Macaca fascicularis: one gene and its partners. The protein of the gene in region 2 purifies or fractionates together with the protein of the main gene of each other region. This does not show direct contact. Links are inferred from orthologs where the notes say so. Each region holds a gene or a part of one and is shown on either strand. Other genes may lie near its edges.

Region 1 (3,651 bases), on a different chromosome or scaffold from region 2:
TTCCTTCCCATCTATTAAGCCAGGTAAGGCACATACTTCCTGCGCAGAGGCGTGGCCTGCTGCATGGTTAGAGCCTGCTAATCACTACGATATACCAGGCCCAGTACTAGATCCCAAATATACTCAAGTGAATATGATGTGATTCTTTCCTTTAAAGAGCTTAGTCTAGAAGGGGAGACAGGTAAACAGATAAGTTATGGTGCCAAGTGAACTAGGGTGTCTTAATTCCTGGGCATCCGGGGAACAAAAGACAGTGACAGACCTTTGGTAAGCCCTAGCATTATGTGGACTCAGAGCAGTCTGCTTTCAGCCATTCTGAGCTTTGCTTCATCCTGATCTTGCTTGCAGACACAGACCAAACCCTGAAGAAGGAGGGGCTGATCTCTCAGGATGGCAGTAGTTTAGAGGCTCTGTTGCGCACTGACCCCCTGGAGAAGCGAGGCGCCCCGGATCCCCGAGTTGATGATGACAGCCTGGGCGAGTTTCCTGTGACCAACAGTCGAGCGCGAAAGGTACAAGATTATCCCTGTGGCTAAGGGAGCTTTGATGGAAATCAGCCTCCTCTTCACTGGGGCCATGCAGTTTCTAGAACTGAAACAGAAGCTGGGGTCCAGGAAGCAGGCCCCTGCAGTTCTGTTCTTACTTCAATCCCTGGTTATTGTCAGGTACTGACTGGCTTCTCTTTTGCTTCTAAGTATAGACTCTCACTCATTCATCCACTTTTATCACAGAACGTTATTATTATACACATATATAATTTTCATTTAAAAAATTAAAAGAGGCCAGGTGCAGTGGCTCATGCCTATAATCCCAGCACCTTGGGAGGCCAAGGCAGGAGGATTGCTTGAGCCCAAGAGCTCGAGACCAGCCTGGGCAACAAAGTGAGACCCCATATCTACAAAAAGTAATAATAAAAAAAATTACCCGGGCATAGCGGCATGTGCCTGTTGTCCCAGCTACTAGGGAAGCTGAGGTGGGAGAATTGCTTGAGCCTGGGAGTTGGAGGCTTCAGTAAGCCGGGATCATGCCACTGCACTCCAGCCTGGGCAACAAAAAAAAATTAAAACCAGAAGGTACAAGAATAGTACAAAGAAATACCGTATACTCTTTACCTAGATTTATCAGTTTCACATTTTGCCACATTTGCCTTATCTGTCTTTGCTAAACCGTTTGAGAGGAAGATGCATATATCAAAAACTTTTCAGTCTAGGCAACATAGCAGGACCTTGTCTCTACTAAAAATAAAAATAAAAAATTAGCTGGGCATGGTGGCACACACCTGCAGTCCCAGCTACTCAGGAGGCTGAGGTGGGAGGATTGCTTGAGCCCAGGAGATTGAGGCTGTAGCTCTGCTCATGCCACTGCACTCCAGCCTGAGTAACAGAGGGAGACCCTGTCTGGGGAGGGAGGGAAACAAACTTTTATCCCTAAATACTTTACTCTTTTATCACAAAAGTTTGTGTCACAAAGTTTTTTGGTCCCTGAGGTTGCACAGTGAAACACACTTGGTCTCTGCCAACAGAGAAGATAAGACTATATATAAAAATAAGAGCTATAAATATGCCAGCATTGGGCTAAGTGCTTTCTCATGCCCTTTCTCCTTTAGTCTGTACAACCTTATGGGGGAGGTCCTGTGTTCCCCATTTCACAGACAAGCTGAAACAAAGCAGTTTAAAAACTTCCCATGGGCTGGGCACGGTGGCTTACGCCTGTAATCCCTTTGGGAGGCCAAGGCAGGCAGATCATGAGGTCAGGAGATCAAGACCATCCTGGCTAACATGGTGAAACCCCGTCTCTACTAAAGATACAAAAAAATTAGCCAGGTGTGGTGGTGGGCACCTGCAGTCCCAGCTACTCAGGCATGAACCCGGGAGGTAGTGCTTGCAGTGAGCTGAGATCGCACCACTGCACTCCAGCCTGGGCGACAGAATGAGACTCCGTCTCAAAAAAAAACTTCCCATGGCCAGCCACGGTGGCTCACGCCTGTAATCCCAGCACTTTGAGAGGCCGAAGTAGGTGGATCATCTGAGGTTGGGAATTCAAAACCAGCCTGACCAACATGGAGAAACCCCGTTTCTACTAAAAATATAGTATTAACCGGGCATGCTGGCGCATGCCTGTAATCCCAGCTACTTGGGAGGCTGAGGCAGGAGGATCACTTGAACGCAGGAGACGGAGGGTGCAGTAAGCCAGTATTGCGCCATTGTACTCCAGCCTGGGCAACAAGAGTGAAACTCCGTCTCAAAAAAAAAAAAAACTTCCCACAAAGTCACACACATAAGCAACAACATTTTCATTTAAACTAGGAGGCGAGTGTCAGGACAGAACCACCAGTAATGTGCTCCCAGGGTGGCCAATCAGAGGCAGGAGAGGGCATGGCTGCTTGTGGCATCGGGGCAACCTTTTGGAAGCATGCTATTTGATTTGGCCATGTGGCATGGTAGGGAAAGCATTTCAGGCTAAGGAAATAATGTGAAGCACAGGGGAAAGAAATCCCAAAGTATGGAAGGGAGCAGGAGCAGGATTGTAGGGTGCTTGAAGGGCGTTGGTGAGAAATGAGGCTCATTCCCCTGTGGGTGGGACCAGGTCACAGAGGAGGTTCTGGGTGGCCTTGGCCAATCTCATCATAGGGGAGCTTTTGGATGCACATATTTCTACCCATGCTAACCCTGCTGTCCACTCAGCGGATCCTAGAACCAGATGACTTCCTGGATGACCTCGATGATGAAGACTATGAAGAAGATACTCCCAAGCGTCGGGGAAAGGGGAAATCCAAGGTGAGGGGCCAGCGTGCTACCTGCATCTTGGGACAGGGTGGCCTAGGGAATTCCTTGTTTTATTTCAAGTGAGATTAGCAGCCACTTCCCAAAGAGTCTAACTCCTCAGGCCCAGCTACCGCAATAAGGGTGTCTCTTTGCTCTTCTTGGCAGGGTAAGGGTGTGGGCAGTGCCCGTAAGAAGCTGGATGCTTCCATCCTGGAGGACCGGGATAAACCGTATGCCTGTGACAGTGAGTGCCTCACAAGTGGGTGGGTAGACCTTGCCTTGGACCCAGCTCCTGCTCAGGCTATGAGAGGAGGGAGGGTTATGTTTTTGCCCAGAGTATTAAAACAAACCTGGGTTCTTGTCCTGCCTGCTGACTGCTTCCGTCTGAGACCCCTGGGAGGCCTGGGGCCCTGCTATATGACGGGTGGGACCTGCATGCTCTGGGAAAGATTTCTGCCATCTTCTGGGGTGGGGTTGCTTGTGGGGGCCACAGCAGGCAGGGTTGGCCTCTCAAGAGACAGCCTGCAGGTCTCCTGGCCTCAGTTAAGCCAGGGCCCCAGGGGTCTGACACTGAGTTTTTCAACGTCTGTTCTCTTTTTCTTTCTCTCTGCCTTGCCCCGCTTCTGTCCCTCCACCCTGGGAGCACCATCGCCGCTGGGGTTTCTCTCTCGTTTGCTCCGCTTTCCTGCTGATGCTGCTCCTGTCTCAAGTGTATCAAGGCCTTCTTCTCATGACTTTTCTTTCTGTCTTTCAGATAGTTTCAAACAAAAGCATACCTCGAAAGCGCCCCAGAGAGGTAGCTCTCTCAACTTTTCAGACTTGTGGTTTTCCTGTCCCTTTTTCCCTCTTCCCTTGTTCCTCCTGCCTTTCTCATTTCCTGGGATGC
Region 2 (3,651 bases):
GGGGCAGGGCTGGCGGTGGCTGCTGCTGCTGTTGGTGCATCTGTTGGAAGTGCTGCTGCCGAGCCCTCATCTCCGCATACTTCAGCTGCTCCATGTGGAAGGCTTGTCTGTCGGCCAGGAGCTGCTGCCTCTGATACTCCAGCTGCCAGTGCCAATTGTGTATTGTTATCCAGTTTTCAGCAGATCCCAAAGGCAAATGCCTTGACCCCTGCTTTGTCTTCTTCTGAAAGATCCTGCCTCTCAATCAGAAGGTTCCCAAAATCTACATCTTGCGCTTGTGCCTCCTCTGTCCTCCCCACCCCACTTCGTGCAAATTCCCATGACCTTTATGTCTCCTGGGTGCCCATATGGTTTCTTACTGCAATGACTTTAACCTGGTCCCAGTTCACTTCAGCTACAAAGCTCTGAACTTGCCATTACCTTGTTTTGGAAAATGCTTCCAGTTCCTTTTGTCAACTCAAGTTCTTTTCTTACTTCAAAATTCACTAAAAACTCACTGTTCTTAGGAAGCTATTCCAGATCAATTCATTTGCCTCTGAACTTTAGCTTTATTTTATGATCTCAGGACTTAGAAACTTGATGTGCAATCTCTCTTTTTTTTTTTTTTGAGACTGAGTCTCACTCTGTCGCCCAGGCTGGAGTACAGTGGTGTGATCTCACTGCAACCTCCGCCTACCTGGTTCAAGCAATTCTCCTGCCTCGGCCTCCCGAGTAGCTGCGATTACAGGTGCGCACCAGCATGCCAAACTAATTTTTTGTATTTTTTATTCTTTAGTAGAGACAGGGTTTCACTGTGTTAGCCAGGATGGTCTCGATCTCCTGACCTTGTGATCCACCTGCCTCAGCCTCCCAAAGTGCTGGAATTACAGGCATGAGCCACCATGCCCGGCCGATGTGCAATCTCTTAACGTGAACCTGTCAGATACTTTAAACCTTCTTAACTGTTTCTGATGTCTCCATATTGTATATTCATTTGATGTCTCCCATTAAACCTTAAGTTCTCTGAGGTCCCTATCTTTTATTTCTTTTTATTCTTTTTTTTTTTTGAGATAGGGTCTCACTCTGTCAACCAGGCTGGAGTGCAATGGTGCAAACATGGCTCAGTGCAGCCTTGACCTCCTGGGCTCAAACGATCTTCCCACCTCTGCTTGCTGAGTAGCTGGGACCACAGGCTAGCATCACCATGCCCGGCTAATTTGTTTATTTTTAAAAATTTTTTGGTCTGGGCACAGTGGCTCTTGCCTGTAATCCCAGCGCTTTGGGAGGCTGAGGCAGGCGGATCACCTGAGGTTGAGTTTGAGACCAGCCTGGCCAACATGGCGAAACCCTGTCTCTACTAAAAATACAAAAATTAGCTGGGCATGGTGGCATACACCTGTAATCCCAGCTACTCAGGAGGCTGAGGCAGGAGAATTGCTTGAACCCAGGAGGCGGAGGTTGCAGTAAGCTGTGATTGCACCACTGTACTCCAGCCTGGGCGAAAGAGTGAGACTCCATCTCAAAAAAAAAAAAAGGCATGGTGACTCACACCTGTAATCCAGCACTTTGGGAAGCAGAGGTGGGCCGACCACCTGAGATTGGGAGTTCGAGACCAGCCTGACTAACATGGAGAAACCCCATCTCTATTAAAAATACAAAATTAGCTGGGCGTGGTGGCGCATGCCTGTAATCCCAGCTACTGGGGAGGCTGAGGCAGGAGAATCGCTTGAACCCAGGAGGTAGAGGTTGTGGTGAGCCAAGATCACACCATTACACTCCAGCCTGAGCAACAAGAGCGAAACTCTTGTCTCAAATAAATAAATAAATAAATAAAATAAATTGTCAAGACAGGGATATCACTATGTTACCGAGGCTGGTCTTGAACTCCTGGGGGGGCTCAAGTGATCCTCTGCCTCAGCCTACCAAAGTACTGGGATTACAGATGTGGGCCACTATGCCTGGTCCCTATTGTCTGTTTCTTCTTATGTCCTCCAAAGACAAAATGGTTCAACACTGTGTCTGTTCCATTCCCTTTCCAAGTGTACCTCCTGGATCTGAGACCCTAACCCTCTATCTCATCATTCCTTAAGCCCATTTACTCAATCACTATTTGAGTCTACTATGGGTCAAGCACTGCTCAAGGACCTGGTGATACAGCAATCAAAACAACCAACTAGAGTCCCTGCCTCATGGAGCTGACCTTCTGTGGGACCTCAGTCCCCAGACTTCACTTGTGAGACCACTTAACTGTCCTTAACTGGCTGCCCTACTCCTGCCCTGTTCCTGCCCTGCTCTGCTTTGAAGCCCTGTCAGTCTCAGGCTTTCCCAACTGTTGCTTATCTCTCTTTCACTGAAACACGCGCACGCGCACACACATGCACACACACACGCCCCTCTGATTTTAAACTGAGGCACAGCACAGCAGGGTTCCAGGGCTCCTGCTACTCACTGCTTCTCGCTCCCGGTCCATGATAGTCTCCAGCTCCTCAAAGTGCCGAAGTTTGATCTCCAACTTTTTCATCTGGGTCTCCACCAGCAGGGCCACCAAAGATTTGATCTTCCTTTCCTCAACAGCAGCCAAGTGCTAGGGAAGGAGGAATGAGACAACACATCAGTGGGAGGACCAACTGAAGACAATACAGAAGAAAGGTAGGGTGGATGCTGGCAGGTATAAGAACAAACTTGCCGTGGTAACAACTCATGGTAAAAGGGCTTGACTTTTTTTGTGCTGGGATCATAGGTGTGAGCCACCGTGTCTTTTTTTTTTTGAGACAGTCTCACTGTTTTGAGACAGTTGCCCAGGCTGGAGTGCAGTGGCATGATCTCAGCTCACTGTAACCTCCACCTCATGGGTTCAAGCAATTCTCGTGCTTTAGCCTCCCTAGTAGCTGGGATTACAGACATGCGCCACCACGCCAGCTAATTTCTGTGTTTTTAGTAGAGACAGGGTTTCACCATGTTGGCCAGGCTGGTCTCAAACTTCCAACCTCAGGTGATCCACCTGCCTCAGCCTCCCAAAGTCCTGGGATTACTTACACGTGTGAGCCACTGCGGCCAGCCTTTTTAAAAAATTAAATTATTTTGGCCAGGCGTGGTGTGTCTCAAGCCTGTAATCCCAGCACTTTGGGATGCTGAGATGAGCAGATCCCTTGAGTCTAGGAGTTCGAGACCAGCCTGGGGCAACAGGGTGAAACCCCGTCTCTACTAAAAATACAAAAATTAACCAGGCATGGTGGCAAGTGCCTGTAATCCCAACTACTCGGGAGGCTGAGGTGGGAGAATCGCTTGAACCCAGAAGGTGGAGGCTGCAGTGAGCCGAGATTGTGCCACTGCACTCCAGCCTGGACAACAGAGTGAGACACCATCTCAATAAATAAATAAATAAATAAATAAATAAATAAAAGAACATGGAGGTTGGGTGTGGTGGCTCACACCTGTAATTCCAGCAATTTGGGATGCCAAGGCAGGTGGATCACCTGAGGTCAGGAGTTCAAGACCAGCCTGGTCAACATGGCGAAACCCCGTCTCTACTAAAAATACAAAGAGTTAGCCGGGCATGGTGTTGTGCGCCTGTAATCCCAGCTACTCGGGAGGCAAAGGCAGGAGAATCACTTGAACCTGGGAGGTGGAGGCTGCAGTGAGCGAGATCTGATAGAGCAAGACTCTGTCTCA
Region 3 (3,651 bases), on a different chromosome or scaffold from region 2:
TAGGAACCAGTTGCTAGAAGTGTACCTTCACTCTGCCAGAGAAAAACATTTCTTTAATTATATAATCTAGATACGGTTTATAATTTAATTGTTGTTGAAGTATTTCATGTTTAAATCCCAGGTACAGAAGAGAATGAAGACATTCTCTGCTTCAAAACTTGCCAGTTTTGCCTACTTGTGAGTGCCACTAAAGGCCTATGAAACCCTTTCACTGTTGTGAAGCTAGTGTTGTACGGGGGCCTTATATCCAAAGCTCAACAACGGACAGTAATAGCTCTGGACCAGGATCTACATCATCCCGCCTCATGCGTGCCCAAAGTAGTCTCACAGACTCACACAACTAAGAATGAAGGTAGGGTGGTGGATTGGGGCGAACATCAAATTCATAATGTTAGAATGATTTATTAGAAGTAAAAAAAGGAAAACTTTAAAATGTGATTAGAAGGTTTTATATGGCCATTCCTCTAAATCCTTTACTGTCTAAAACAAAGTGTGTGTGTATGATCCAAACAATATCATTGTTTCAAATGATCGGATTCTTAAACATTTGAATGTTCCTTTCTATTATTAATCCCTTCCCACTATGAAATATTTGCCAATAAAAAGAGCAACACAAGCAAAAGAGCCAGAAAAGAGCACAGGCTGACTTCATAGTTAATGAAGTAAGTATAACTGCCTACTTTACCGGAGGAAAAGTCCATATAAATTTCTCTCAACTTATATTCCCTTGCTATGCGCCTTGCCTGGATGAATGGTGTAATAACAGGACAGATCTAACTAACTCTATGCAAACGCAAAAGTTACAGATTATAGTAAACAGACTATTGCTAGAATGACTAAACATTACTGGAGAATGAAATCCTGCATTACTTGACATATTCTTGATGGGTTTTGGTAAGGGCATTCAAAACAAGATCACCTATTTCACATCTCTCAAGCCATTTTAGGAGTATGGCTAAGTGACAAACAAAAACAAATGCTGGTTCTGGGAACTGCAGACTCAGTTCTGCTAAGACATGGCAATCCCTTAGGGCTCTATCTGAAGAAGAAGGGGAGCCATGTTGAAGTCAACAGTAAAAGCTTATTTCCAGATTCTACACAATGTTAAGTTTCCTCTAAACTATCAGTCCCTAAATGTTTTAGTTCATGAACTGCTCAACTAGGAAAAGAATACTTTAAAGATGAGAAATCTCACAGGCTCTCTTGCTTTAGCCATGAAAAAGAATCATTAATCGAGGATGATGTTTTCCAAGCTTACCGTGATTAACACATTTTCAAAAAGCCCACACTTTTCAAAACTATAAAATGCAGTTCAGAACTACCAAGCTGAACAAACCAATATTCATTCATTAACCATCCTTTTCAGTGTAAACTGTAAATTTCATTAAATTAACATGACCAGTGGGCCAGGTAGCATAAGAAAGCTATAAGATGTCTGAACTAAGATACAATAAGGGCCTATATTAAGAAAATAATTCTATCTTGATCCTACAAGTAAATAATACTACAATGTGCAAAACCCCTTTGGAATTTTTAGAATTGTCATACGGAGGGGAAGAGTAAACATGCTGCTGGCAATTTTGGAAGAAAATGCTAAAAATACCCAGTTATGATTTCTGAAAAAACATGTCACAGAAACTGAGAACTTTAGCGGGAATAACGATTTTAAAGATAGATCTCATTCCTTGGGAAAAGAATTAGAAGATCCTTTAGAAAGCCCACAAAAGTTGTTAAATAGAAGAGAAAAGAACATTCATTTGCTGAGGAAGAACTACTATCGTGAGATATTCTTTGCAATGCTGAAATATATCTAAGAGGTTTGGGGGCGTGGCGGGGGCTAGCAGGGTGAGGTAAGAGATATTATTTACAACTAAACGATGACAATTTATCAACAATGAAGTGAAAGTTTTTTGTAAGTCAGAGTAGTCAAGTTGTCCTGAAAGATGTTGAATCATACATAGAATCAGAGAATTAGAAGATTCCTACAGTGGGAATAAAATTTAGACATTATCTAGACTAATGATCCCTAAAAGGAAATTGGTAATAAAGTTGTAACAGTTCACAGAACAAAGAGAAAAACAAGAACATGTTTTCTGCTACATAGAATTCTTTTATCCCCCAACTAAGAACTCGGTTGTTACGGATTTAGTATGTTGTTTGTTATTATGGTAAGAATTTTCACCTATTATCTCAAATATTTAGGTACCATTTTCACAGATCTACTTGACATTTAAGGAAAACGAAGTACAGAGTAAACAGTAACAATTTAACCAAGGAGATGCTGCGGGATACACTAAAGAGCTGGACATTGTACCCTGGTCTAAGGCAAGTTTGTGTCTTTAACACCACAGTGGAGGAGAGGGCTGGCAGGTGACGACTCCCAGTTTGTTGTTACTAGTTAATAAAACCCCAAATTCTGAACAAATAGACAAACCGTGCCATGAGTCTGAGGCTCTGAGGGTTAGGTATACTAGTAATTATATCCATCATGGATATAGTGATACTCACATTCCAATCTAGAGATGTGACATCCTTGTTGCTTGGAACATCTTGCCCTCCTTCTCGTATACAATGTCTAAGTACTAACTGTGTAGAGCCACTGGTGCTGTTCTCACTAAGATTCCATATTCTTGCTGTTGAGTCTCCAGACCTATAAAAGTATGCAATGTATTTTAAATCCTCATGACATTCTCAACTATCAGAATCAAGGCAACATATTTACATCTGAATATTAATAAGGCAAATAAAAACTAAACTATCACAGATTTTCATTTCCAGTATTTTTCCCATTCTACACATTGGGACCCCCAAGCGTTCTCGAAACAGTAAGTTTAATTAAAAATTCTACAATTACTTCATGAAGGAATAAAACATTTACAGAGACAAAATGGCCACAAATAAGCAACAACAGAAAACCTGAATAATGCATATGTTTATAAAATGCTCAGTAAGATATTTGTAAAAGCCATTTTAGTATCACTTTGAGAAACACACCCTGATGCTAGGAGATCACTAACAGGGTTCCAGGCACAGATGAAAACTTCAGATTCATGGCCCCGCAACACAACTGCTTTATTAGGAGGGATTTCAACATCCCCATCCACTTCCATCATATCAGTATGATTATCTGCATCGTGAAAAACAAGTAAGCAATTCCAGTTAGGCAGTATTACAATATGGCGGATGGGTGAATTCTTAACTAGCAAATACCTTCCTTTATCACATACAGGGTTAACATTATCAAGTTAAGCTGAACATGACTACACAGTCTTAGTCACATAGAAAATAAATTGGTACCTTTAATTAAGTATTGACCATACTTTTTTTTTAAGAGGGATGGGGGTGGGGGTGGGATGCAGACTTTAAATGATTAGACCTAAACATGGATAAAACGATAAAATGGTTTGAACTAAACATAATGTCTACCAGTACTATTCTGAGTTTCTGCCAGTAGGGGTTGCTGATATCATTCATATAACATGACTTGCCTTTTATCTCAATGTCAGAGCGCTATGGTATTTGTTGATAACTAGTATTACAATTTCATTTAGAAATCAAATGTAGATACAAAAATTCATTTAATGATGGGAAAAGGGCTTCTAGATATTTTAAAAAGAAAATAAAAGTAAATCTAGCTTTTTGGAGCTTCAG

What was found. Proteins that work in one complex are often made in the same cells at the same time.
Region 1: the proteins of SMARCC2 (region 2) and DPF2 purify together in Homo sapiens (affinity purification with mass spectrometry; 8 studies listed by BioGRID and IntAct, counting the BioPlex papers as one, with this or other methods). This does not show direct contact. The link is inferred for Macaca fascicularis from reciprocal best matches to the Homo sapiens genes SMARCC2 and DPF2.
Region 3: the proteins of SMARCC2 (region 2) and TBL1XR1 fractionate together in Homo sapiens (co-fractionation; 3 studies listed by BioGRID, with this or other methods). This does not show direct contact. The link is inferred for Macaca fascicularis from reciprocal best matches to the Homo sapiens genes SMARCC2 and TBL1XR1.

The regions. Positions count from the first base shown.
Region 1 is NC_088388.1:9,032,653-9,036,303, reverse strand, and holds part of DPF2 (zinc finger protein ubi-d4), read left to right. Parts: coding exon 1-23; intron 24-348; coding exon 349-512; intron 513-2,684; coding exon 2,685-2,777; intron 2,778-2,930; coding exon 2,931-3,009; intron 3,010-3,519; coding exon 3,520-3,561; intron 3,562-3,651. UniProt on the Homo sapiens protein: Plays an active role in transcriptional regulation by binding modified histones H3 and H4. Is a negative regulator of myeloid differentiation of hematopoietic progenitor cells. Might also have a role in the development and maturation of lymphoid cells.
Region 2 is NC_088385.1:62,953,969-62,957,619, forward strand, and holds part of SMARCC2 (SWI/SNF complex subunit SMARCC2), read right to left. Parts: intron 2,564-3,651; coding exon 2,429-2,563; intron 143-2,428; coding exon 1-142. UniProt on the Homo sapiens protein: Involved in transcriptional activation and repression of select genes by chromatin remodeling (alteration of DNA-nucleosome topology).
Region 3 is NC_088376.1:88,764,859-88,768,509, forward strand, and holds part of TBL1XR1 (F-box-like/WD repeat-containing protein TBL1XR1), read right to left. Parts: intron 3,128-3,651; coding exon 2,995-3,127; intron 2,651-2,994; coding exon 2,509-2,650; intron 33-2,508; coding exon 1-32. UniProt on the Homo sapiens protein: F-box-like protein involved in the recruitment of the ubiquitin/19S proteasome complex to nuclear receptor-regulated transcription units. Plays an essential role in transcription activation mediated by nuclear receptors.